2 linked regions of the Lonchura striata genome follow. The protein of the gene in region 1 purifies or fractionates together with the protein of each later gene. This does not show direct contact. Links are inferred from orthologs where the notes say so. Each region holds a gene or a part of one and is shown on either strand. Other genes may lie near its edges.

What was found.
Region 2: the proteins of TRAF7 (region 1) and MAP3K3 purify together in Homo sapiens (affinity purification with mass spectrometry; 5 studies listed by BioGRID and IntAct, with this or other methods). This does not show direct contact. The link is inferred for Lonchura striata from reciprocal best matches to the Homo sapiens genes TRAF7 and MAP3K3.

What each region holds. Positions count from the first base shown.
Region 1 is NC_134618.1:16,959,521-16,971,410, reverse strand, and holds the start of TRAF7 (E3 ubiquitin-protein ligase TRAF7), read right to left. Parts: upstream 4,875-11,890; 5' UTR 4,767-4,874; intron 1,807-4,766; exon of another isoform or gene 1,536-1,806; intron 1-1,535. Other genes in the region: RAB26 (ras-related protein Rab-26), read right to left, coding at 8,949-9,051, 9,502-9,578, 9,817-9,873, 10,020-10,085. UniProt on the Homo sapiens protein: E3 ubiquitin and SUMO-protein ligase that plays a role in different biological processes such as innate immunity, inflammation or apoptosis. Potentiates MAP3K3-mediated activation of JUN/AP1 and DDIT3 transcriptional regulators.
Region 2 is NC_134627.1:8,987,836-8,999,313, forward strand, and holds the start of MAP3K3 (mitogen-activated protein kinase kinase kinase 3), read right to left. Parts: upstream 5,664-11,478; 5' UTR 5,542-5,663; coding exon 5,538-5,541; intron 1-5,537. UniProt on the Homo sapiens protein: Component of a protein kinase signal transduction cascade. Mediates activation of the NF-kappa-B, AP1 and DDIT3 transcriptional regulators.

The sequences.
Region 1 (11,890 bases):
TAAAAGTTGGCCCTGCCACTGCACAACTGCTTGCTGTGGCTCTCACAGCTTGTGCTCTTCCACATGCTCCCTCAAAGAACAGAGAACATCACATTGCTCAATTGTGGATTTGGTGAAGGAAAAAGAATAAAACCCCAGCCAAGCCCTGAAACCAACAACATCCTCCCACTCCAAGGCAGAAATCTCAGTGCTGCTGCAGTTCCTCGGGAGGGAAGAGTCAGCTCTGTGCGAGGCAGATCCTGATGGAAGGTACCACACTTCAGAAGCTGAGAGCAGTCACCCTCACCACTCACACCACACCTGGTGCTCCTCAGACCTGTCTGACACAGAGAATAAATGGCTGCCAAGACCCCACGGGGTCCTGTGGGCTGCCTCAGCTCTGCTCTTGCTCTCCCTGCTGCAAATCTGAGAGAGAGGGGCCTGCAGCTCAAGTGAAAACCCCTGGGGGATGGAGAAATTTGGCTTCTGCTCTTCCAAGGAAGCCAGAGCAATGTTTGTCTCACCTGGATTCTGCTCTCCTGGAGTCCTGCAAGAGTCAAAGCAAAGCTCCCCTCTCCTTTATTCCCCAATTCCTGTGCCATGGCTGAGGCCTTTTCCAGCTGCTTTGCCTTATGGTTGGCTGCACTGCATCCTCTGGAAAGCTGCAACCACCCCACCACACTATGGGATTCTTCCAGATTAAAGTCATAGCAAACCTGAGCCCATAGCCATGACTCAAAAAGCACAAAGTAGCACTTCCACCCCCTGCTCCCCCCAACATCCTCCAAAGTTTTGGCACCTCGTGACACACACGCTTCTCTGCCCTCTGGATGCAACTAGAACACTTCAAAGATCCAGCTTAAATACATCATCTTCTTCTTCAGGAAAAAAAAAAAAAAAAAAGACAGCAAATTCTAGTCACCTGCTCTTTTTTTGTACATTCCCTTGGGTTTTGCTACTGAAAACAAGCAGGAGGCACCTGTAGACACCAACACTCATCGATCAAATTAGTGATCCTGGGAGAAACAAAAGCAAATCCTTTATTCCAAAAGAAATCAGGAGATGTGGACACTTCCACCACGGCAAATCTGCTGACAGCTTTGAGACAGAAGCACCACTCAGTGTCCAAAAACCCCAAACCCCACAGATTAAACTCTCCCCCAGGGTGACTCAGAATTCCAGGGGACACGGCCTCTCTTTACAAACTTATTTTCTGTGTTCACAGCTCTGCCTAAGGAATAGTGAAGATTTCCCACTTCTGGAACACCAGACTAACCTCAGGACACTCTTGCCAAGTTGCTGCAATCAAGCACTCCGTGCCCTTGCAAAGGTCACTCTGAAGGACCAGAAAATCAGGGTGACACAGCTGCAGCTGCTGGAGGGGCCACAGGTACCCCCGTCCAAGCTGCTGCAGGACTCAGGTACCTCCTGCTCCCTAAGGAGGGATGAAAACAGTTCCTCCCTCGCTGCTGAAGGGGAGCAGCTTCCCCGGGAATGCTGCCGAGAGCCTGACACCCAGCACCCGGAGCAAACACTTCTCCTTGGAGCAAACTCACCCTTGGCCATCGTGGAGCGGCAGAGCCCGGCAAGATGCCACCACCATGCCCGGTTCCTGAGCTGGGGACAGGCTTCTCCCCGGCCAAAGTGCCTTTTCCGCTACGTGTGTGCGTGTGTGGATCGCTCCCCGGTGATGTAAACACAAAGGCATGCGGAGCAGTGGGCGATATGTAAATGCAGCTGGAAAATCCCACAGCTCAGCCAATCTCCACGCTGCCTCCCAGCTTTGCCCCGGCTGCTCCGGGTTCAGTTCGGTGCAGGAAAAACATCCCTCTCCCAGCACACACGGATTTATTCCCCCAAACACAGAAAGCTCCTGAGACAGAAAGGCCCTTCGCTCGCTTTAAGGGGAGTTTGAGTTTCTCACCCTCATTTATAGTTCCCCAACTATTCAGAATTCTGCATGACAAACAGCATCGCGCTCTTTGCCTGGAGAGATGATCCAGGGAAACCCAGTGACCCAAAAAGGCAGAACTGGGGAGCAGGACTCGGCTGAAACACAGCCACTGGTGGTGGTGGGGGACTCCCACTGCCAGGACACCCCTCCCAGAGCTGGGGCAGCCCCAGGAGCAGGCACTGCCCCGCTCCAGCCCCCAGGACACCTCCTTCAAAGGCAGCTCTGAACCTCCAAGGCTGTGTGTGGCAAGCACATTTCTCTCTCAAGATTTTTCATAGAGGTGCACAGAGAGAAATGAAAGAGAAAACAATTTCTATTTCTGCTCCTTGTTTTGCCCATGTGGAATGTGTTTGGAGAATTGTTTACCTGGGGTGATTGCTTGATTAGATTCTGGTGAGGATTGTTTGAGCCTGACAGCCAATCCAACCCACCTGGGGCTGCGCTCTCAGAGAAGGTCACGAGTTGAGTTAGGGTCAGAGAAAGTAGTATGTAGTTTTAGTACCCTCCTTTTATATAGTATATTAATGTATTTTAGCATAGTTATAATAAAGAAATAATTCAGCCTTTTGAATTGAGTCAGACATCCTCATTTCTTCCCACTGGGTTCACCTGCATTTACAATAGCTGTGCTTGAGGCAAAGCAGGAGCAGCTTGAATGGGTAATTTGGGGTGCTGCTGCCTTTAGGCTCCAGGGGGACTTGTTGGGCTCAAAGAGGGGTGACACGTACCCGTGTGAGCATCCAGCTGCCTCCCTCCTTGTCCCAGCTTCCCTACACCCCCTGATCCAAGCCACGGGCACAGGGACTGCTGGTGTGTGCAGATAAAAACCGGGAGGGAAGAGCTCCAACAGACTGAACACGGACCAGGAAGGATTTTCTCTCCTGTGCACTCCTCCTGCCACACCTGGGCTTGGCCGGGATAACCCGTGAGAAAGGCACAGTCACGCTCCAGGAAATGCCACAGCCAGGCCAGCAGGGCTCGGAAGGTCCCTGGCAGCAGGGGAAGGCTCAGCCCTCGGGGTGACCGATGGCTGAACCCCACTGGGGCTGCAGAGCGCCCAGGAGCAGCCCCAGGAGCAGGGCAGGGCTGGCAGCAGCACACGGAGCTCTGCAGCCACCCAGAGCCTGCAGGGCTCCCCGAGGCCCTGGCAGAACCTCGGGGAAGGGAAGGGCTGACTGCAGGCAGGGGACACAAACTTCCACCTGCAGCTCACACGTGGCTCCAGGCCACCAGGGGCTGTGCTGCCCCAGGAGTGCTCACCCTGGAATCCCCCAGCTCAGGGAACCAAACCACCCCAAAACCATGGATTGGTTTGTTGTTTTTTTTTCCTTCCTTGAGCCCAATCAATATGAAAACCCCTGTTTGAGTATGAGCAATGAAGGTATCAGCATCCCCTGCCTGGAAACACCACTGTGGCTCAGGTTTCCCATTTCCACGGGGTAAAACGTTCCCTCCTTGAGGCAGTGTCGCCTGCACACAAACCAAACCCAGCGCTGGAGCTTCAGCCTGTCCCTTCCCTGCTCCACACAGGGGACCCAGGGCCTGGAGGGAATCCAGCAGACTGCAGACAGGACCCGCTCCTGCAGCTTCCTGCAGGATTTTAGGGATTTCCCTTGCCAGGGGAGGTGCAGGTTGCACATCAGGAGGAATTTCCTCATGGAAGGGGCTGCCCAAAGAGGTTTGGAGTCTCCATCCCTGGAGATGTCCAACGTGGCACTCAGAGCTCTGGGCTGTGATCAGTCACAGGATGGACTCTGTGGTTTTGGAGATTTTTTCCAACCTAAACAATTCTGGGATTCTGTGATCTGAGACTACTTTCACCCATCAAAGGCTTTCTGGAACCATCCTTCACCCCCAAACCCTCTCCTGCAAGCCCCACCATCCTCGCTGTGGCTGGAAGGAGCAGCCAAAAACACTTGAGGCCAAAATGCTGCAGCTTTTAAAGCTGTTTAAGAGGAACCCGAGTGCTCAGTGCAGCCTGGAAACACATCGCTGGGGGGGGAAAACACGCAGGGAGGCAGAATTACACTGCTGGGATTGAAACAAAGGCACAGCAACGTTACCAAAGTGGCAAAGACAACTGCTGGGTCACAGTTCTTGGGACAATTCTGGAGCCACTCCTGTAACACCCACCGGCCCTGCCGCTGCCTCTGAGCCCAGCAGAGCTCCAAAGGAAGGGGAACCCAAGGGAAATGCTCCCCGCTGCCCTTCCCAGCACACGGCTCAGGGATCCCAGAGTTTGGCAGCGTTTGTCAGCGGGACAGCGGCTGCAGCGGCGGGGGACAGAGCCCCAGAGCTGGCTTGAGGCGAGGTTGGCACAATGCACAGCCCATAAGGGCAGGGGACAGAGCCCCAGAGCTGGCTTGAGTAGAGGACAGGTCGGCACAATGCACAGCCCGCAGGTCACAGCCCCGACCCACACCTGCACCTCTGCGGCAGCCACGGAGAGCCACTCCCGGCCAGCCCACGCTGTGAACACTGTGGGCCCAAAGCCCAGCGAAACGAGGCTCCCGGGAGGGCAGGGAAACACCGGCAGCAGCAACACGTGCTGCGGTCGGGCACGGAACGGAGCGGAAAACGACAAAACCGAGCAGAAAAAGCCGCAGCTACGCGATGACACCCAGCCAACACACCGGCGGCAGTGAGCGGGGCCGGAACAGCGCAGAGGATGCTCCAGCTGCTCCGAGCGCCCCACAGAGCCGCCGGCACCCCGGGCACAGCGGGCGGCGGGCACCGGGAGCCTCCGCCGGCCCCTCCGCGGCCCGCGGCCCTGCCCCTCCCGTGGCGGAGCCGCCCGGCGCGGCCCGCCCGGCGCCCCCCGGCCCGCCCGTACCTCCCAGCGGCGGCGGCGGCCGCAGCGCCGGTGCCCGGTCCCGGCACATCGCGCCCGGGCCTGCTCCTCACCGGCGCCCGGCCCGGAACTGCCGCGCGCAGCGCTCCTCGGGACTTGTAGTCCCGTGCGCCGCTTCCTGCCTGTTCTGCCGAGTCGCATGGACTACAACTCCCAACACGCCCCGCGGAGAGCCACTCCATGCTACAACCGCTGTTGCTACTGGTTCTGCCCGGCCTACTGCAGTGACCAATCAGAAGGTGGCAACTACCGCCTCGGGCCACGCTGCGCTGCGCGTCGCCATTGGTGGAGAGGAGAACAGCGACCAATCAGCGCTGCTAGAGGTGGGGCGGTGGTCACGCCAACCGCTGGAGATTGGCTGTGCCCACAGCAGGCTGACCAATAGTGGCGTGGCAGTGGCCATAAAAAACGTAGCGTGGCGCGAGCACGTTCTTTCCAGCCAGAGGCGCGGCGCAGGAGAGGACGAGGGGTGAGGGAAGCGCGGCCGGTACCGGCGCTATTACCGAGGGCGGGCCGGTGATGATCCACACTAACCTTTCTGACACCTCGTCTGAGGGCGGCGGGCGGCCGCAGCCCCTGCTGAGCAGCCCCTGCTGAGGCCCGCGGAGCCGCGGCCCGGCGGGGCGGCCGGGCGGGCTCTGCCCTCACGCGCTGCCTTCTCTCCCCTCAGGGCTCGGCGGGAACCGGCGGCGGCGTCCCGGAGGCTCCGTGCCCCGTCCCGGCACTCCCCGGCGGTCTGGGCCGCTCGAAGGCGGCGTTCGTGATAGCAAAAAGGTTTTTAAATCGTGGGGATTTAGGGTTAGAAGGAAAATTAAGCTTATTAGGCCCTGAAAAAATACCCTGGGTACATGTAGGCCTTGTACATTGCTAGAACAGCACCTCTGTAGCTAGTACATTATAAATGATATAATTGTTAGATGTGATGATTGTTTAGTAATTAAATATAATTACTGTTTAATCGTAAGAATAATCATGAGAAACTGGTCAGAGGCCTAGGGAAGTTCACGAGAAACTCGTGCTTGAATAAAGTCAATGTATACAACAGAACAATGTTAGCTTAATAATTTGTAAGTTACAGCAAATATTAATGAATTAATAATTAAATATTAATTAATTAATAATTTAAATTCGCAAATATTGCCACTAATATTACATCTGTAATGTTAGAAAGTTATGCTGTATTCTCTTATGTAGTGGGCTAAATATAGTTTTAGGTTCCAACAGAAGGTTAAAATAGAGACGATGTTTGTGGGGGGAGTGTTTTTTTTTAGGAATGAGATACTCGTTTAGAGGAACACCTAAATCTTGAAAAGGAATTTATGGTTTTCTTATCAGAAGAAGCTAATTTCTTCAGGCCTCACTCGACTTGAAGGCGCCTTAGGGTTTAAAGGAAACAGTTGATATACCACAGAGAGTTCTTGTTTTAAATAAAATGTATGCATAGCCATGAGGAATATGTGAATATACAACAGGCCGTTGCTTTTAAGGTTATTCCTTTGTTCACAAGGGATGCTTTTTGTGACTTAGTGTCCGAGAGCATGATGTCTGTAATTCTTTGCTTTTTATTGTCTTGTAATTGTCCTAACTCAAAACTTTATTACTCTGATTGTATTACTACTTTTATAACCATTTTATTATTACTAAACTTTTAAAATTTTTAAAACCAAGTGATTGGCATTTTTCACAGAAGATAACAAATTACTCCTGTAATGTTTTCCCAATCTCAAGCTTTACTTGTAAATGCTTTACTACTGTATTTCAACTTTGGTTTCTATATAAAGTAAATTTTGTAGCTTACAGGTGAATAAAGTTTTGAAAAATCTGTTTTTTTCTTCTGTTTATCAGCATTTCTCCACAGACTGACTGGAAATGCTGTAACTGGAGTGCATTAAGTTTGCAGCACTTTGCTCAGCCCCACTCCCTTCTTTGCAATCTTGGGAGTCACTTTGGTTTGATGGCAACTCCGACACTGTGCCAGGGCTGGGCAGCCCTTTTTGGGGAGAAATTCTCCCAATACCCAGTTCAAACTGTTATTCCCTGGTTCTGCTGTGTAGATCCAGATGGTTTAGAGGCTGAGCTGAAATACTTTGAACGACTGACAAATGAAAATGCTGCTGTAGCCATGCAGAGTATTAAAAAATTTTATTAACAGGAATGAACTGAAAGCTGTAAACAAGAGCCAGCGGAAATGGAATGTTGCAGGTGAGGCCGAGTCCTCGCACGTGGCTGGGTGCACCGAGCAATTAACTCGAATAATTAATAATTAACTTTGCTGAGCAGTTCCGCGTGGTGGCAGCAAAGGCCCACGGAAAATCCCAAATGGCCGGAAAATCCCAAATGGCCGTGAGGAGGAGCTTCGGGGCCAGGCCAGTGCGGGCACTGGGAAACCAGTCCCACACTGGGAGCTGGTGACTGGGAGGGAGCAGCTGAGCCTGCTCCGGGTTCAGGGCTGAACCACAGGCAGGCTGGAATGCGCTGAAGGGAATCATTTACATCTTCCCCAATTACAGGAGTTTTTATTGGGTTTACACCCGCATTGAGAGAGAAGTGAGCAGTTGCCAGCTTTGTAACCAGACAATGCCAGTCTGAGGGAGAGGGAAGGTAGCAACGTGATATTAGGAATCCTAATCCATTAGTAATCTCAATTTTGCCTTTTGGGAGGCTCCTTGTCCCTTCAGAATTGGGCTGCTGCTGCTCCAAGGGCAGGATGAGGAAACAGTTGTGGAGCTGCCTGGCTGTTCCCTGCCTCTGCCAGGCTGGTCCTGCCTCACAAAACCAAATTTGCCCTGAGAGCCCCCCCATCACTCAGCTCACCTGGCTGCTCCTGCAGGACTGGCAGCAGAGTTTGCCAGGAATGCAAACGTTCCTGCAAGAAAGGGTTTTCCACAGGTATTTTTAAAATTTAAATCAGACAACTTCAAGATTTATCTCTCCCTTAAAATACCATTTAGGGAAAAGCTGGTTTAAGATCATTTTTCATCCTGTGAAGCTGTAGCTCCTTGAGGAGTGAAGCTCAGAGCATGTGGGAGCTGCAGAGGCTCCTCGTGCCCATCGGGAAGGTGGTGCTGGAGCCAAAATCCCAGGAAAAACGAGAGGCAGGAGGATCTTGAGTCAGCAGCTGTGGGGGTGTGCTGGCTGGAGGGCAGAGATGGGTTATTCTGCTTCATTTGGAGGAGCCACCGAGGCTTGGCACGGCGGGCACCTGCTGATGTGCGCGTGGAGTTTTCAAAGGGAAAAATCGCCAAAGGCCAAACACTTCATCCAGATTCAAATCCGTACTGAGAAGTGCAGCTTGACAAAAAAAACAGCCAAAAGCCTGACACAGACCAAAGGGGTGAGGAGGCCCTTGAAGAGAGCTGGCAAGAGTCTGCAGCCTGTAAAATCACTGCCTGCAGCTTCCCCCCAGCTCTCTGCGGTGCAAAGAGAGAGCTGCCCGAGAGAACTTTGAAGATATCAAAGCGTTGTTGCAGTCTGAAAACACCATCACACTTACAGGAAGGTATTTAGAATAAGCTGCAATACATTAGGTTTCTTCTCAAAGTACTAGAAAGGCGGAAGGAGAAGAAGCAGAGCCTTTCCCAAAGGGATGAACATTCAGAAATCTCTGTACACAGCCAGGTGTGCAGGAGCTCACCTGGACAGCCAAGCTCTGCCTTTGCAGGGAACAGGAGAATCCCTCACTGTGGAAGCTTGTCCCACCTCACAGGGATGGACAGACAGGAGAAAACAACTACAAGAATGGCTGCCTTCAAACACATCCTGCACGCCCCAGGCCAGGGCTCTCAGCTGAATTCCAGGGACACAGGGCAAGAAAAGGGAATTCAGGACGTTCTCCTACCCAGAAAAAAATCAGGACTTCTTTCCTCCTAGGTGGGGAGAAGGTGTTGGTTCCCCTGCGTCACGCCCTGGCTCTCACGAAGGTTACAGCAGCCTCACAGAGCAGGCACAGGAGGAGACCCCAGCCCCTTCCCAAGCACCACCTCCCACCTGTGAGCAGGGCAGGAATGCTGGCCAGGGGAGCCGGAGCCAACGGGGCTGCAGAATCCCAGAGAGCTTTTCCTGCTGCTCCTGTGCCCTGGTCTCAGCTGGCCTTGGGGGCAGACACAGACACAACAGACAGACATGCACACACTGCCCACGGGCCTGAGTCTCTGCAAATGCACGTTAGGACCTGCAGCAGCCCGAGCCTCGCACTTCCTTCTTCACATAGTCGTGGAGTTTGAATTTGGGCTCGTTGGGCAGCTTCATGGACCTGTGCTTCAGCTCCCTGGAAAGGGGAAAGATGTTACTCTCATGCTGCTGCTTCTGGCAGGGAGAGGATTTTGTCTGGAAGGAGCCAGAGAGGGAGTTTGGACAAGGGCATGGAGTGAGAGGACACAGGGAATGGCCATCTATCCCTGCTGGCAGGGCAGGGATAGATGGGATCTCCGGAAGAAATCCTTCCCTGTGAGGGTGGTGAAGCCCTGGCACAGGTTGCCCAGAGAAGCTGTGGCTGCCCCTGGATCCCTGGAAGTGTCCAGACTTGACAGGGCTTTGGGATGGTGGAAACCTGCCATGGCAAGGCATTGGAACTGAATGGGCTTTAAGGTCCCTTCAACCCAAGCCATCCCAGGATTCTATGATTCCGAGCTGCCTTGCCCAGCTCAGTTGATCTCAGCGTGGCTTGGACACTGCTAAAGCTCCTTTGGATGACAAGGCCCCTGCTCTGGTCACTTACTTGGCGATGGCTGTGAACGCTAATTCCACGTTGAGGCCGCTCTTGGCGCTGGTCTCCATGAAGGGCACTCCGTACTCCTGTGGGATGAGACACAGCCCTGTCAGGAGTGGCACCAAGGGTGTTCCCAGGGGCTCTTGGGAGTAATTTTTGAGGACAGAATCAAGAGATACTAGTAGAAACTTAAAGGAAGAACAGATAAGGAGAAAGGGGAGAGCATGACAAGGGAAAAACACCGAGTGCTCCCAGGTGTATTTTGGGTCAGACTGGTCTCCAGGTGACCTGGTTCTCAGGGACATGCTCAGGTACCTCACCTACCTTGGCAAGCTTCTCTCCATCTTCCCTTTTCACCACTCTGTCTTGGGCTGAATCCACCTGCAACAGGAATGGCAAAGAGCAATTTGTGGTGATTTGGAAGGCCACCAGCAGGTACCTCCCTGTGCCCTCATGCCCTGCCAGGCTCCCCTGCCTGTGCCTCCAGCGTGGGAGGAAGAGGAGGCCGTGGCAAAGCCCAGGCTCACCTTGTTTCCCAGTAACATGAGGACCACATCCTGCTGTGCATATTCATGGATCTCTGTCAGCCAAGCCTGGAGGGACACAGCCAAAGAGAGGGGTTGGCAATGGCTCCAGGAGAAGGAGGGGAATGGGAATAATGGGGAGCTGCACCACTCCTGGCATGGACACCCTCAGTAGGCAATGCTGCATCCCAAACAATCCCAGAGATGATCCCTGACAACAGGGGGTACCCTGGGGTTCCCCTGAGCCCTGGGGGACCCACTTTGGCTGCTACCAGATCCCCATTTCCCAGGTAACAGCAGCTTTCTGACCTCCCCTGCCCATTCCATCTGGTGCTGTAGGGCTTTGACCCCAGTTTCCCCTCAGCTGGGATGTTCAGACTGAACCTCCTCTCAGAGGACAAGGCCGAGGGCTGGCTCTGGGATGTGCCCTGTGCCCGTGTCCTGCCCGTGCTGCCCCTGAGCCGTGGGGTGGCTTCCCTGCCCTTTAATCCAGCCTAATCCAATCAAACCTGCTCTAATTCCCTGTAATCCCTGACCCCGTGGTGTGAGCAGCCTCCTGCTGTCTCCAGTGCTGTTGCAGGGCTCATGGCAATTCCTGGTGGTCCTGGTGGTCCCTGCTCCAAACCCAGCAGGAACCCAGCACGTGAGGCTGCAACCTCAGGACAGCACTGCACCCAGGCTGGGCTCAGGGTGCTCCGTTCCATCGTGGGTTGGAGTCTCTCCTAACTCCCTTTGGCTGCTCTCTGCCCCCACCCCTCTCTCCAAAGCCTGGCAATTCCCCTGGGTGCTCGTTCCTTCCCACTGGGCTGTGTGTCCTGCAGGGACATCTCTCCTGTGTCCTCAGGATTGCTGATGCTGCAGGCAGGGCCGTGTTCCCCAGCAATGTGAAACCTCCACAGGATTTTCTTTCACAGGGCCACCAGCCCTGAGCAGACCCAGAGCCTGGGGGACACGGTGGGAAGCATTCCCAGCGCCGGTGACACGGAGCAGGGTGGCAGGACCTGCCCTGTCCCTGCCCTGTCCCTGCAGGCACAGAGGGGTGGCACGTGTGGTGCTGCCGAGGGAAGGATGCTCCGGAGCAGGGAGAGCTGCAGTCCCACAGGGGATCAAGAGCTGTGGGACCCCAGGAGCCCGTGGGACACATCCCAGCCCCAGGGTGTTGATGCCACCACAGCCCTGGGTGTGTGTGCAGGCACGGCTGCTCCCCGTGGATGCTCACGGCGTTCTCATGCCCGGGACACGAGCAATTACATCCAGTTCAGTCAGGGATAATTGCTCCCCGGCTCAGGACGTGCTCTGGCAGCGCTGGCACAGGTGGCCTCCAGCAGCCACACGGGGCCGGTGGGGCAGAGAGGGGACACTGAGTGCCCAGGTGTCCCTGACCCCCCTGCTGCCATGAGGCAGCATCTGCTCTCCCCCTCTGCCAGGCTGGAGAGCCCCAGCAGCACTGGCCAGCTGCCCTGAAGGACCCAGGGAAGGGGCAAACTTGGGCAGCACCAGGAAGCCCCCAAGGCTGCAGGAAGGGCAGGTGGGCTGGGACCCCCTCCCTGCCAGGTTTGGACTAAGCTGGGGTGGCAGTGAGGAGCCCAACCCCGACCCACTGTGACCTGGAGGAGCAGAGGGGGATGAGGGATCAGCTCGCTGGAGAAAGCTCCCGTGCTCGGCTACTACAGCAAGTTCTCTGCCAGTGCTGTAATTACACAGTGTTAATTGGCCGGAGCAGTGAATCCATCACCCTTTATGTGCTGTGAAAGGGAAAACCTTCTCTCCTGTCCCTTGCCTGTCCTTGCAGGTGCTCAGCAGTAAGCACAGCCCTTCTGCCAGCGACCCCAGCTCCCACAGCAGCACACACCTCCAGAAGGAACCCACGCCCA
Region 2 (11,478 bases), on another chromosome or scaffold:
CTATATAAAAACACACATTGATTTTTCTCTTGTATGTTCCACTAAGAATTACTTTCTGAGGATTCCTGATGTAACCAATTTAAAGTATTCCCTCCCATTGCCTGTTCACTTTGAGAAGCAATACTTAGCATAACTTTGTGCTTAGAGAAAAAAACAAAGATGTAAAAGGAGAGAAATGCACAGTAGCTGGGCTGTGATGGATGGCACATGAAGGTCTAAAAGCTATGGAAATGAATCCTTTCCTCGAGCATACGTAATGACCCTAAACTCCCTGATACTGCAAAAGGTAAAGGAAGCTGCCAAGTGAAGTTCTGTCCAAAATGGGACTGCACTGGGCACTTGGCTGCAGGCACTGTGCCACAGCTAACAAAGCAGCACCTCATGCTGTCACTGCTCCTGGCACACTCCAGCCCTCTGGATTGCCCGGCTGCTGTCTCACATACCGAGACTCATAAAGGTTTTAGGAATAAAGTGCTGTTTCCTTGGCAAACAATACACCCAGTTAAATCCTTCCTGGTATTAAGGCATTACTTAGGCATGGAATTTGAAGCAATGATTTGATCAGCTCTGGATATGCCCAGGAGAATCTGCCCTTTCTAAAAGAGTTTGGGAGGACCTGAACCCTAGTTTTGAAAGAAAAGCTTTTTTTTTTTTTTTTTTTTTGATAATTGGGACTTCTGGAAGTGATGTGAGCCAGATGAGGTTCTCCCAGCCCTGCTCCCACGATGGTGTGCAGTGCCTCCTGCACAGCTCCTCCTTTTGTCCCTCACTATGTCACTTTGAGACATTTGAATTGAAATGAGCATTTTTGAAGCTGATTTGTAAGTAACTGAAACTTAATTTTAAGAATCCACCCTGGCTACACACTCATCCCTGAATTCATGGCAATGGTTTGATGGGTAAGCACTTGCTTTTGGAAGAGTTATCCTGGGAACAGCTGCTGAACAACAATTGGAACTTCTCTGTAAAAGGGATTCAGTGGGACTATTTGTTTCTGCAATTTCATGTTGTGTATTTGTTCACGAGTCTTTCCAAAGCAGTTAGCTTATGTTTTATGCAGAAGGCTAGCTTCATAATTAATCAATGTCTGAATAACAAACTAGATTTTCGCAATGCTTAAAGATGACAGATGTGGGACACATACGGTTTGTAGAGCACGCAGGGAGCAGATCCTGCTACAAGTTAAAAGCAGAACGGGAAAAATACACCTTTTGTAAGGAGGAAACATCTGAAGAAGGCCCAGTCAGAACTAAAGTCACATTAGGATTATCTTTGCTAAAACCAATGGTTTCTGCCCAGGTCTGTTTTAGCTTTCACAGGATCCCAAAATGATTTGGGTTGGAAGGGACCTGAAAGCTCATCCAGGGACACCTTCCACTGTCCCAGGCTGCTCCAAGCCCTGTCCAGCCTGGCCTGGGACACTGCCAGGTGTCCAGGGGCACCCAGAGCTGCTCTGGGCACCTGTGCCAGGGCCTGCCCACCCTCCCAGAAAGGAACTTCTTCCCAGGATCCCATCTATCCCTGCCTTCTGGCAATGGGAAGCCATTCCCTGTGTCCTGTCCACTCAGGCCCCTGTGAAGTCTCTCTCTACCCCTCTTGCAGGCTCTCTTCAGGCACTGGAAGTGAGTCCTAACTTGGTCCTGAGAGCACCCAACATCTCAGATACATCCACTGTGGAATCCAGAATGTTGCACCAGAAACATCAAGCCTAGACCAGATCATGAAAGGGAAGGAACAGAAATCTCCCAATGAATTTGCAGAAGGTGTTAATTACAGAAAAAAAATCTTAAAAAAGGAACGCAGAGCAGAGAATATAAAAAAATCCAAATCAAAACCCACCAAATCTCTGCTGTCCAAGACAAGCCAAATGAGACAATAACCACATTGTGGCAGCAGAGAAGGGAGAGCACTCCTTGACATTCCAACTGCATGTGAAAGAAGCAAGCGGTGTAACACAACCAAAGCAAGAGGCTGCTTTTTGAGAAGCACATCAGCCAAAGGAAATAAGTGCTGGGATCTATCTCAGCACTAAGTAACCCCTTGTGGGATGAAAATCTGAAGAAACAGCTGTGAATGAAGCTAAAGTTCCAGGTGGGCAATGGCACAACTTTTTCCTTCCTTTTTTTTTTAACTTTCCAACTTTACAGTTGAACATTTAACCTTTTACCTTTACTGGAGTGTCGCCAATTTACTGGTATTCTTTCATTTTGATGGTATTAGGAGCAGTCTTGGAGTCACCTGACAGACAAAGGCTGAAACCATGCACAAGAAAATACTACAGCCTATGGCCTGGAACATCACCGACCTTCCTACCACCCAAAACACTCAGGGAAGAGTCGGGCTACAAGTTTTCCACTACAGTGCAGTTTGGGTTTGGCCAGATACCAGGAGGATGAAGAAGAGCTTGTCTTGGCAGAGCTCCTTTGGGCAAGAAGCAAACGAGCTAAGAAAGCAGTTTATAACTGAGGGCTGATGACAAGAAATCAAGTCCATCAAAGAATATGTCTGGGAAGAAGAATTCTCCTCTAAACAGTATCATTACTGGAAAACAAAGATCAATGGTTGCAATGGCTGGCTGCAGGTGTTCTACCCCAGTTAGTGCCCTGCAAGGTCTGTATCTTACTCACTGCTGTCATTCTAACACCAAAATATTATTTATCTTCATAATATGGGAACAGTCAATGTTCTAACAAAGGGCATGGAACAACTTCAGGTGAGTTTGAATCTTATTATACCTTTTCTAGTAGTTTTACACTAAGCTATTTGTTCCCTACTACTAAACCATACATCCTGTAATTCACCCCTATGTTGATGAGGTAGGACATGACAGAATATTTATCTCTTAAAAGGATAAAGTCAAACCTGATCTGAGCTTGTGCAGGGAAAAATTGTATCTGGTGAGGACAGCAGAGTGATGGATTCAATGCTGAGAAGTATGAGTACTTCTTTAGTTCCATCCCAACAGAGGATTCTCATAGACAGACTTGGAGCAGCACGTGGAGCAGCATTACATTAATTGCACAATGCAGAAGCTGCTACAAATGAAAATGAAGCAATTTTTGGAGTACTGAGAGACCCTGTTTTGCCTGGTCTCCAGTCGGTCTGGGAAACACAGTTCTGCTTTGTGCGGGAAAGATGTTGTCCAGGAAATGCTTTTCATGTTTTAAAAACTACACTCAAGGATTTTTATAACTTCGATAAAAGCGAACTGCTGCTCACAGAGAAAGTTGTTCCTCTCCACAAAGCATTTACTTCAACCAATCCGTGGTTTATTACACAGGTCTGAACAAGTCAGAAATGGAAACAGTTTAGAAAAAGGAAAAAAATAATCACAAAGTTAGAAGCGCAAAAGTATCTGCATATGTCTGAACCCCCCTTATCTGGATCATGTTTTATATGGTGTCACAGTGGGATACATGATGCCACTTTGGTGTAAAAGAGAAAGTGACCACATCTGTGTATTTGTTATCTACCACCACAACAGCAAAGCTGGTTTGGGCGAGTGATTGGCAGATCCGGGAACAATAAGGAAATTTTAGACAAATTGTGTCTATGTTAAAGGCCTCAAAAAAGCCTTCAAAAGAGTTTCATTTTGAGTCCTTTGCCATGGGCAGTTTTAGTGGTACCAAAATGCTGCTGTGTGCAAGCTTCAGGAAATCCCAAAGGACCTGGCTTGTAGAGTGAGAGAAAAAAACAGAGAGCTCTACGAGGCTTATGCTCGCAGGATGCATTGAGGGTCCCTGTTCCATTCACAGGTCAGGGGAAAGGCCTGGGCTGTGGGGTTTGAGGCTGTCCTGGGCTGTGGGGTTTGAAACTATCCTGAGCTGTGGGGTTTGAAACTATCCTGGGCTGTGGGGTTTGAGGCATTCCTGGGCTGTGGGGTTTGAAACTATCCTGAGCTGTGGGGTTTGAGGCTGTCCTGGGCTGTGGGGTTTGAGGCTGTCCTGGGCTGTGGGGTTTGAGGCTGTCCTGGGCTGTGGGGTTTGAAACTATCCTGGGCTGTGGGGTTTGAGGCTGTCCCGGGCTGTGGGGTTTGAAACTATCCTGGGTGTGGGGTTTGAGGCTGTCCCAGGCTGTGGGGTTTGAAACTATCCTGGGCTGTGGGGTTTGAGGCTGTCCTGGGCTGTGGGGTTTGAGGCTGTCCTGGGCTGTGGGGTTTGAGGCTGTCCTGGTCTGTGGGGTTTGAGGCTGTCCTGCCCACGGGCTCAGCCACGCTCCCTCCGCACTGTCGCTGGGTGAGCCAAGGGAAGGAAGTGACACAGGCAGGAAAAGCCAGCGGAGCAGGGAAGGCTGCAGGGAGCAGGGCCTGCGCCCCCAAACCCGCAGAGCTCACCCCGCACAGCTCAGGGCCGCAGATCCCCCTTCTCCAGCCTGCCAAGGAGTGTCCAGAGGGAAACAAACCCCAGGAACCGCTCCAGGTGAGTGGCTGAACCACTGGAGCTCCTGCAAACTCTGCCACCAATCACCCCACGCGTCCTTCAGGTGGGTTATGGAACCAGATTATGGTGGAACGGTCCATGAAATTGTATTTTTTCATTCTGCCCTCACATGTTTACAAACACAGGTCCAATTGCTATTGGAAGACACTTTCATGGAAATCCAAGTTCCTACTTCTAAACCATTTTAATATAGAAGGACCCTGCTACTCTAAACAGAGTGCATTACACTATTCCTCTTTGTAGCAGAGAAATCTAGTGATGGATTTGCATGAATTTGTTGTATTTACAAATCAAAACAGAGTAAAGAGATATTGAAGTAGTTGTAGAATAACATTTGCAACGCTTTTTGAATTTAAAGTATAAAAGCTAATTATGCATACAGACTAAATGAAGGAGAGTCTCAGAAAACTAAACTTGGTTGTTGGGAAGAAACGTTTAAGTTGTAGCCCATGAAACCATGAAACTCCAGACTTAGAAAAGCAGGAATTTCCTTGCCAATAAGCAAGTATAAGTTAAGTTCTGGTTTAGAGCAATCAAAAGTTTAATTCTAGCACCTCTCTTTAAGCTGAAAAAGAAATTAGGAAGCACAAGACCCCCTCCCTAAGCAGTTCTTTATACAGGACATACACTTCAAATCCAAATTAATTTTACTTAATCAATCAAATTCAGTCATGGCAGCTCCTCATAAGAACTTTTTCCTCTTGAAAAAGAGTTCTTCCAACTCCGTTGCTTGTTTTTACATGTGGCCGTCTGGGCTAAGAATGGCAAATGAGAACTCGGGGGGGGTTCCATAAAGGCAAATCTTTCGCGATGGACTCCCAAGCTGCACGTAACACTAGAAATGTCTCCAAGTCAGCCTGAGCACACCTCCCGTCCCGTAAGAGCCGCGTCGGGAGCGGAGAGCCCCGCGCTCGGCGGGGCACCGCACCTTCGGCAAGACCCGACTTTTGCCACTTCGGCCAAATCCTAGCAAATGCACCGCTCCCCCCCGGCGGCGCCCGGAGCGGGGCCCGGCCGAGCCCCGCGCCCCGTCCCGCCCGCAGCGGCCCCGGCCCGTGACGCGGCCCCGGCCCCCGGGGCTTCTCCGCCGCTGCTCACCCATGTCCGCGGGCGGCGGCCCCGCTCGCGGCGGGCGCTGCGGAACGGCGCTGTCACCGCCGCGGCTCCATGGCGGCCGGGCCGAGGGGAGGGCTCACAGCCGCCGCCGCCGCCACATTCCCAGGCCCCGCGCCGCCGCCTGCTGCCGGCGGCCGCGCTCCGGGAGCGGCGGGCGGGCGCTGCGGTGCGGCCCGGTGCCCGGTGCGGCCCGGAGCCCGGTGCGGCCCGGTGCTGCCCGGTGCCCGGTCCGTGCGGGCCGGCCGCGCCGCCGCCGCCCGCAAAACAAACCGCTCGGCGGCCGCCGCGCACCCGCCGCCTCCTGCCAATCACAGCGGCACCCGCCGCCGCCCGCCAATCAGCGCCGACGCGGCGCCCGCCCGACGGCGCTGCTGGCCAATGGGCGCGCGAGCAGCCGCGCCGCCCGCCCCGCCTCCCCGCGGAGCCGGCTGTCAATCACGGGGTCCGACGCGCCGCGGCGGAGCCACGCCCCCCGGCCGTCAGGAGGCGGGGCCTCACAGACCACGCCCCCCACGCGGCTGTCAGTCAGAGTGACGGACGGCGGCGCGGCTCCGCCCACGGGGGCCGAAAGGAAAAATGGAATTTTGTTCTGCCCGTGCTGCACCTGCACTGAAACACCTCTGCGAACCAGGCCGCAGGGCTAACGAGAATAAATGTTCTCTTAAAATTAACTAATAAATTATAATTAAAAAGTCATCCTGGACTGCGTCTGATGCAACTACCGGGTAACTGTTCACACAGCACAGTGTGCTGTCATCATGTAGCCTAAGCCAGGAATTCTCTGAATCGTGAATGTTTTGGCTTGGAAGGGACCTTAAAGATCATCTCGTTCTCCCCTCTGCCACAGGCTGTGTTTAAATGAATCAAATCTTTTAAAGCAACCCCCAGCCTGCCCCCTCCCAGCTTGTGTCTGTCCCACCTGCAGGATGGAATTTTCAGTGTCCTTCCCACGAAGGAACGGCAGAAGGGGTTTGTTGTTTTGAAAAGAAGCCCAACCCGACTCCCTGTTGTGGTCAGGGCCGCCCTGCTGCTGGGAAACCCACCTGGAGCAGATGTTTCAGCTGCTGCTTCTCAATCTGCCAAACGCCTGGCAGGGCTCTGCTCACAAACGGCACAGCAGCAATGTCAAAGGGGTCACGGAACCCGGAGAAGAAAACTAGGCTGGAAAGGGAAATTGCTCAAAAGTGTGATCAAGTGCAGGAATCTGAACCTACACATCAGGAGGAATTTGGGACTTAGTCAAAACATGACAACATTATCTGTAATGTAATTTAAAATTTTTATTTATTTTCACTGTCGAAGTAGTAAAAAGCTCTTAGAGTATCATACCAGGTAGACACGGAAATAGGAAAAGGGATCCACAGACACAGCCACTTTCCCTTCTTAATACAAGCCTTGTATTTGTGGTATCAAGCTGGTAGCTTTTTGTCCCTGTTCCAGTTTGAATTTCTCTCTCATTCAACAGCATCATTATTGATCTTGGAACCACTTTTTGACATGCTGTTTCACAGCTTCATGATGGCTTATCACTATCTTTTATCAACCACTAAATCTCAGTTTCCTTTCCTTACTAATTTCCAATAAAATACTCTTGGTATCCTCCACAGTCTCCTCCTTGTCCCTAAATTCACATCCTTGCACTCTCTGCTGCCACATTTAATCTCATCTCTATTTCTCACTCTTCAGTCATCCAATCTCCAAGATACTCAGTTCCCTCATATTACTGAAGCCTCCCACTTTTGTTCATCACCAAATTTGATTTTAATGCTGGCTCTTTGTGCCAGGATCATTATAAAAAGGCTTTTCTAAGAGAGGGAAGAGCCCACCCATACCCCGGGAGGCAGAAATTTAGTATCAATTCCCCACTGCACCAGCCCTGATTTTAAACCAGTCCATCATCACCTCACCATTTGCTATTTTTGCCTAGCTTGGCCTGCTAAATGAGAATGATTCCATGTCCTTTGTGCAGAAACTTGCTTTCCCAAGTCCAAAAGATAGTAGAGTGGCAAGTGGCAGCTTGTGACAGGAGCCAGAAGCTCCTGGCAGATGGGAGAAGACACACTCTGGTGGAACTCGCTCTTCCCACCTCCAACTGCCCAGGGCATCTGCATTTCACTGAAGCTTCCCCGCATCTTTTACCAAATTGAAAATAGAATGATTTGTCCTTAACAGCTCATCACTTCACCCACCTGTCAAGCCTAATGTGTAAACTAACAATTTTATTTCTTGATTTGTGGTTTCCCCATTTTACAGACATTCTCGCATCACTATCTACATGCAAGTGCCATCAGGACTTTTTTTGACCACTACAGACCCTCACACCTTTTTTTTTCCCCTCACCAAGCTGCTAAATCTTTCCTGAACTGGAATCCAAATTTCTACCAGAATCAGCGCCCCTTTTTTGTGTAACTTGAGAAAAAAAAATAATTCCTTTCTGACTTTTACTGTGTACTTAATACTGTACTGGTTTTGTGCATAATCACAGAACCCCAGAAGGGTTTGGGTTGGAACGGGCCTTAAAGACCCCCCAGTGCCACCCTGGCATGGCAGGGACACCTTCCACTGTCCCAGGCTGCTCCAAGCCCCATCCAGCCTGGCCTTGTGCACTGCCAGGGATCCAGGGGCTGCTCTGGGCAACTGTGCCAGGGCCTGCCCACCCCCACAGAGAGGAAATATCCCATTGAATCCTTCTCTCTATCAGTCTGAACCCAGTTCTTTTTGTCCTGCCATTGCAGTTCCTGATGAGGATCAGGTTGTTTTACAGTAGTTGATATTCCGTGGTTTTCCACCTGAATTGTCCACATCCTTCCAAAGCTGCAGCTTTCAGCAGAGAAGCTTCACTCCTGTAAACAGCACCTGCAGAACACACTTAATTCTTGAATTTATTCAGATTGTCTGATGCCATTTAATATAAAACCATCAGTAAAGATATTCACAAAGACTCTCCAGTCTGTGACTCTGTGTTCCCAGTCAGCCCATTTGTTTTAAAAGAACTTTATAAGGCCTAATAGTTCAATGCTGTCACACAGCATCAACTAAGAAAAGGAAGTGCAATCCCTATTTTAGGGACTTAAGGGCATTGTACAGAAAGTCAGCGACTTGTTAGAAGTTACACAGGAAATCTGGAGTAGACCTTTGGGGCATTTTCTGAAGCATACCTGACTCAAAGAGCCCCTTTTCCTTGCTATCAGATGTGCTGTTTCTTCTTTCCTTCCTGCTTCCCTTCTTGTTTAGGTAGACACATCCTTCCTGGGGAGCTGAGCAGGCTCCAGGCTGAGCCTGCTTGTCCCATGCCAAAACTTCCTTATTCTACATCTTGGACTCCACAGCCACAGAAGGGAGCAAGGAGGAGAAACTCTGTAAACAGAACTGGAGAATCCTTCAATGGTTTGGGTTGGAAGGACCTTAAAGCCCATCCATGCCACCCCCTGCCACGGCAGGGACATCTTTCACTGTCCCCAGGTTGCTCCAAGCCCTGTCCAGCCTGGCCTGGGACACTGCCAGGGATGAGGGATCCGATCTTCAAAGGATGCAAGAAAGGGTCTTGCACTGTTTTCAGCAGATGTAAGAGTAATCTCATTAATCCCAGGCAGTTCTTGTCTCTCCTAAAAGTTTCTTGTTGTGTTCTCAGCTTTGAAAACAAAGAGGATGGAACACCATCACCATTACCCAGCTGTAGGACAGCATGGCAGGATATATATGGGCCCAGATGCATCTCCCCCCCCAGCAGAGACATGAATCACCTGGAACTCCTGTAAAACGCCTGCAGCAGCCGTTCTCGGCCGGGAGAAGCAGGTGTGCCCCGGAGCTTCCTGCTGCCACGGCTGGGCCTGGCTGCCAGCAGCATTCCAGCAGAGGGGGCTCTGAAGCTGCTTAAAAACCAGAAGCTGCTCTGCCTTTGGAATGGCAAAATCAGAGAAGGAAGGGGAGGAAGAACGTTAAAAATATTATATGCTTTTAGATCATTACTTCCTCTGAGCTGACAGTCTGGACTGTTTCTAAAACAGCACGAGTGAAAAAGCTCTAAATTAAATGCTTCTCCCAGTCACAGGCCCCAGAATAATCTCAGAGATCACTTTTTTTCTACAGCTATTGCTGTGCATTGTGTTACCACGGAGGGCTTCTTTCAAGTATTTTCGAGCCCTTTACTGATTACTGATTAATTATGTGCTTGCCACTTACAGCTTGTTTACCAGAGCAGGGACTTTCCCACGGTCACAGAGCAAGACAGCTGTGCCAGATGTTGGTTGTTCCATAATATTTGTCTTTTTCCACCTACGTTCCTCTACATCATTTTATGGCACTTGTTTTGCCACACTGACAGGCAACCTGCTTCACCCATTATCCACCAGTCCACCACTTTTTGCTCTGCTCCAATTTGCACAAGCTACCTCCTTCCACCATAGTGGCAGGTGAGAAAGTTTCTCTGGAGTATTCCAAAACACAAATCCAGGGACAAAAATAATCTGTGAGGATGCAAATACATTTCTAGGGTGAAAGACAAACACTTCTTGGGAAAAAAGTATTTTTTCTGAGCAGGAGTTACTAACACAAAGTCCATATATAGCTTAAAAACCACTGCAGCATCTGCAGACACTCTTGCCACTGTGGCCATGAAGCTTAGTAAGCTTTTATTTCAAAGCCAGTACACAAAGAATTAGAAAGAAATCCAACCGTTCAGTTGAACTAGATTTAATCTAAATACTTAAGGAAGTCATCAGTCCTGCTTGCCAAGGCCTAAGGTACAAATTTCCAAGCTCTGCCACACAATTCTCCTCTTGGCCCCAATTCCGGACACAACAGCAGTGACTGAGTGTGTGGAAAAAATACCCTTTAAGAGAGGTCACCCTGCCCAGGAGAGACTTAAAGCTACAGAAGTGCCCAATTGCTTCATTTTCACTTTGCCTATATTAAAAATCCCTCAGAGACTGATTATTTGAATTCTAAAAAAAAAAACCCCAAAAAACAAACAAACAAACAAAAAAAACAAAGTCTCTCTTCCCCTCGTCTTAAAAACAAAACCACACAGCAGATAATTCCCATTTTTTTTGTGCCGGGAACAAGCAAAGTGTTGGAAAACACGTGCAGAAACAACACTGGAATACACAGACCCTGCAGAAGGCTTTTAAGAAAGCCAATATTTAATGTACAGCTGCATTTTTTGTTGTAGTTCTGTTGTGACTGGGTTACTAATAATTTATTTGGGGAAACTTGCAACTTAAGAGTAGCTGGAATTATCAAGTTTGTTTGGGTATTTGTAGGACAAGGGATCAATATACTTCACCAGCTTTGCAGAGGCAAGGCAAAGCAATCCACCTCTTCTTACAGCACCTAACTGCACACAGCAGAAATGAAGTTCATTTGTAGCTCCCTGCTCCCCCCAGGTTTTCACTCATCACACAGGGAACTGCAGTCAATCTACAAATGTTCCGTTTTTATTACAAAGTATGAAAGGCAGAAAATACTGTACCTAATACACAGGAGGCCGAAACTTAGAAAGAAGGTTAAAAAATCTGAATAAAACTACATAGGAAGCAGGAAATAGCATAAAAGGATGCAACATTCCACTTTCAAGCAAGTTCAGAAAATTGCCTTAAAATTTACAGTTTCAACTATATGGTTCCATGACTCAGGTGTTAAAATCCATTGTAACAAACCCTTTTATATTTCTCCATAAAAATAAAGGAATATAGGGACACTGCAGTTATCCATGTCAACAATATATATCTGTTGAATAGCAGGATACTGGGACTCCTCTAGGACAGAATAGTAGCGAAGTTGCAGGTGGAGAAAAGGACAGAAGTAAAATTACTATTGCTTTAACATACTCTAGTGAGAACAAGAAGTCAGGAATCTCATATGGATGTTTGTACAATCATGCTACAAAGATTACACCTTCAGGAAATTACCACAACGGGACTGT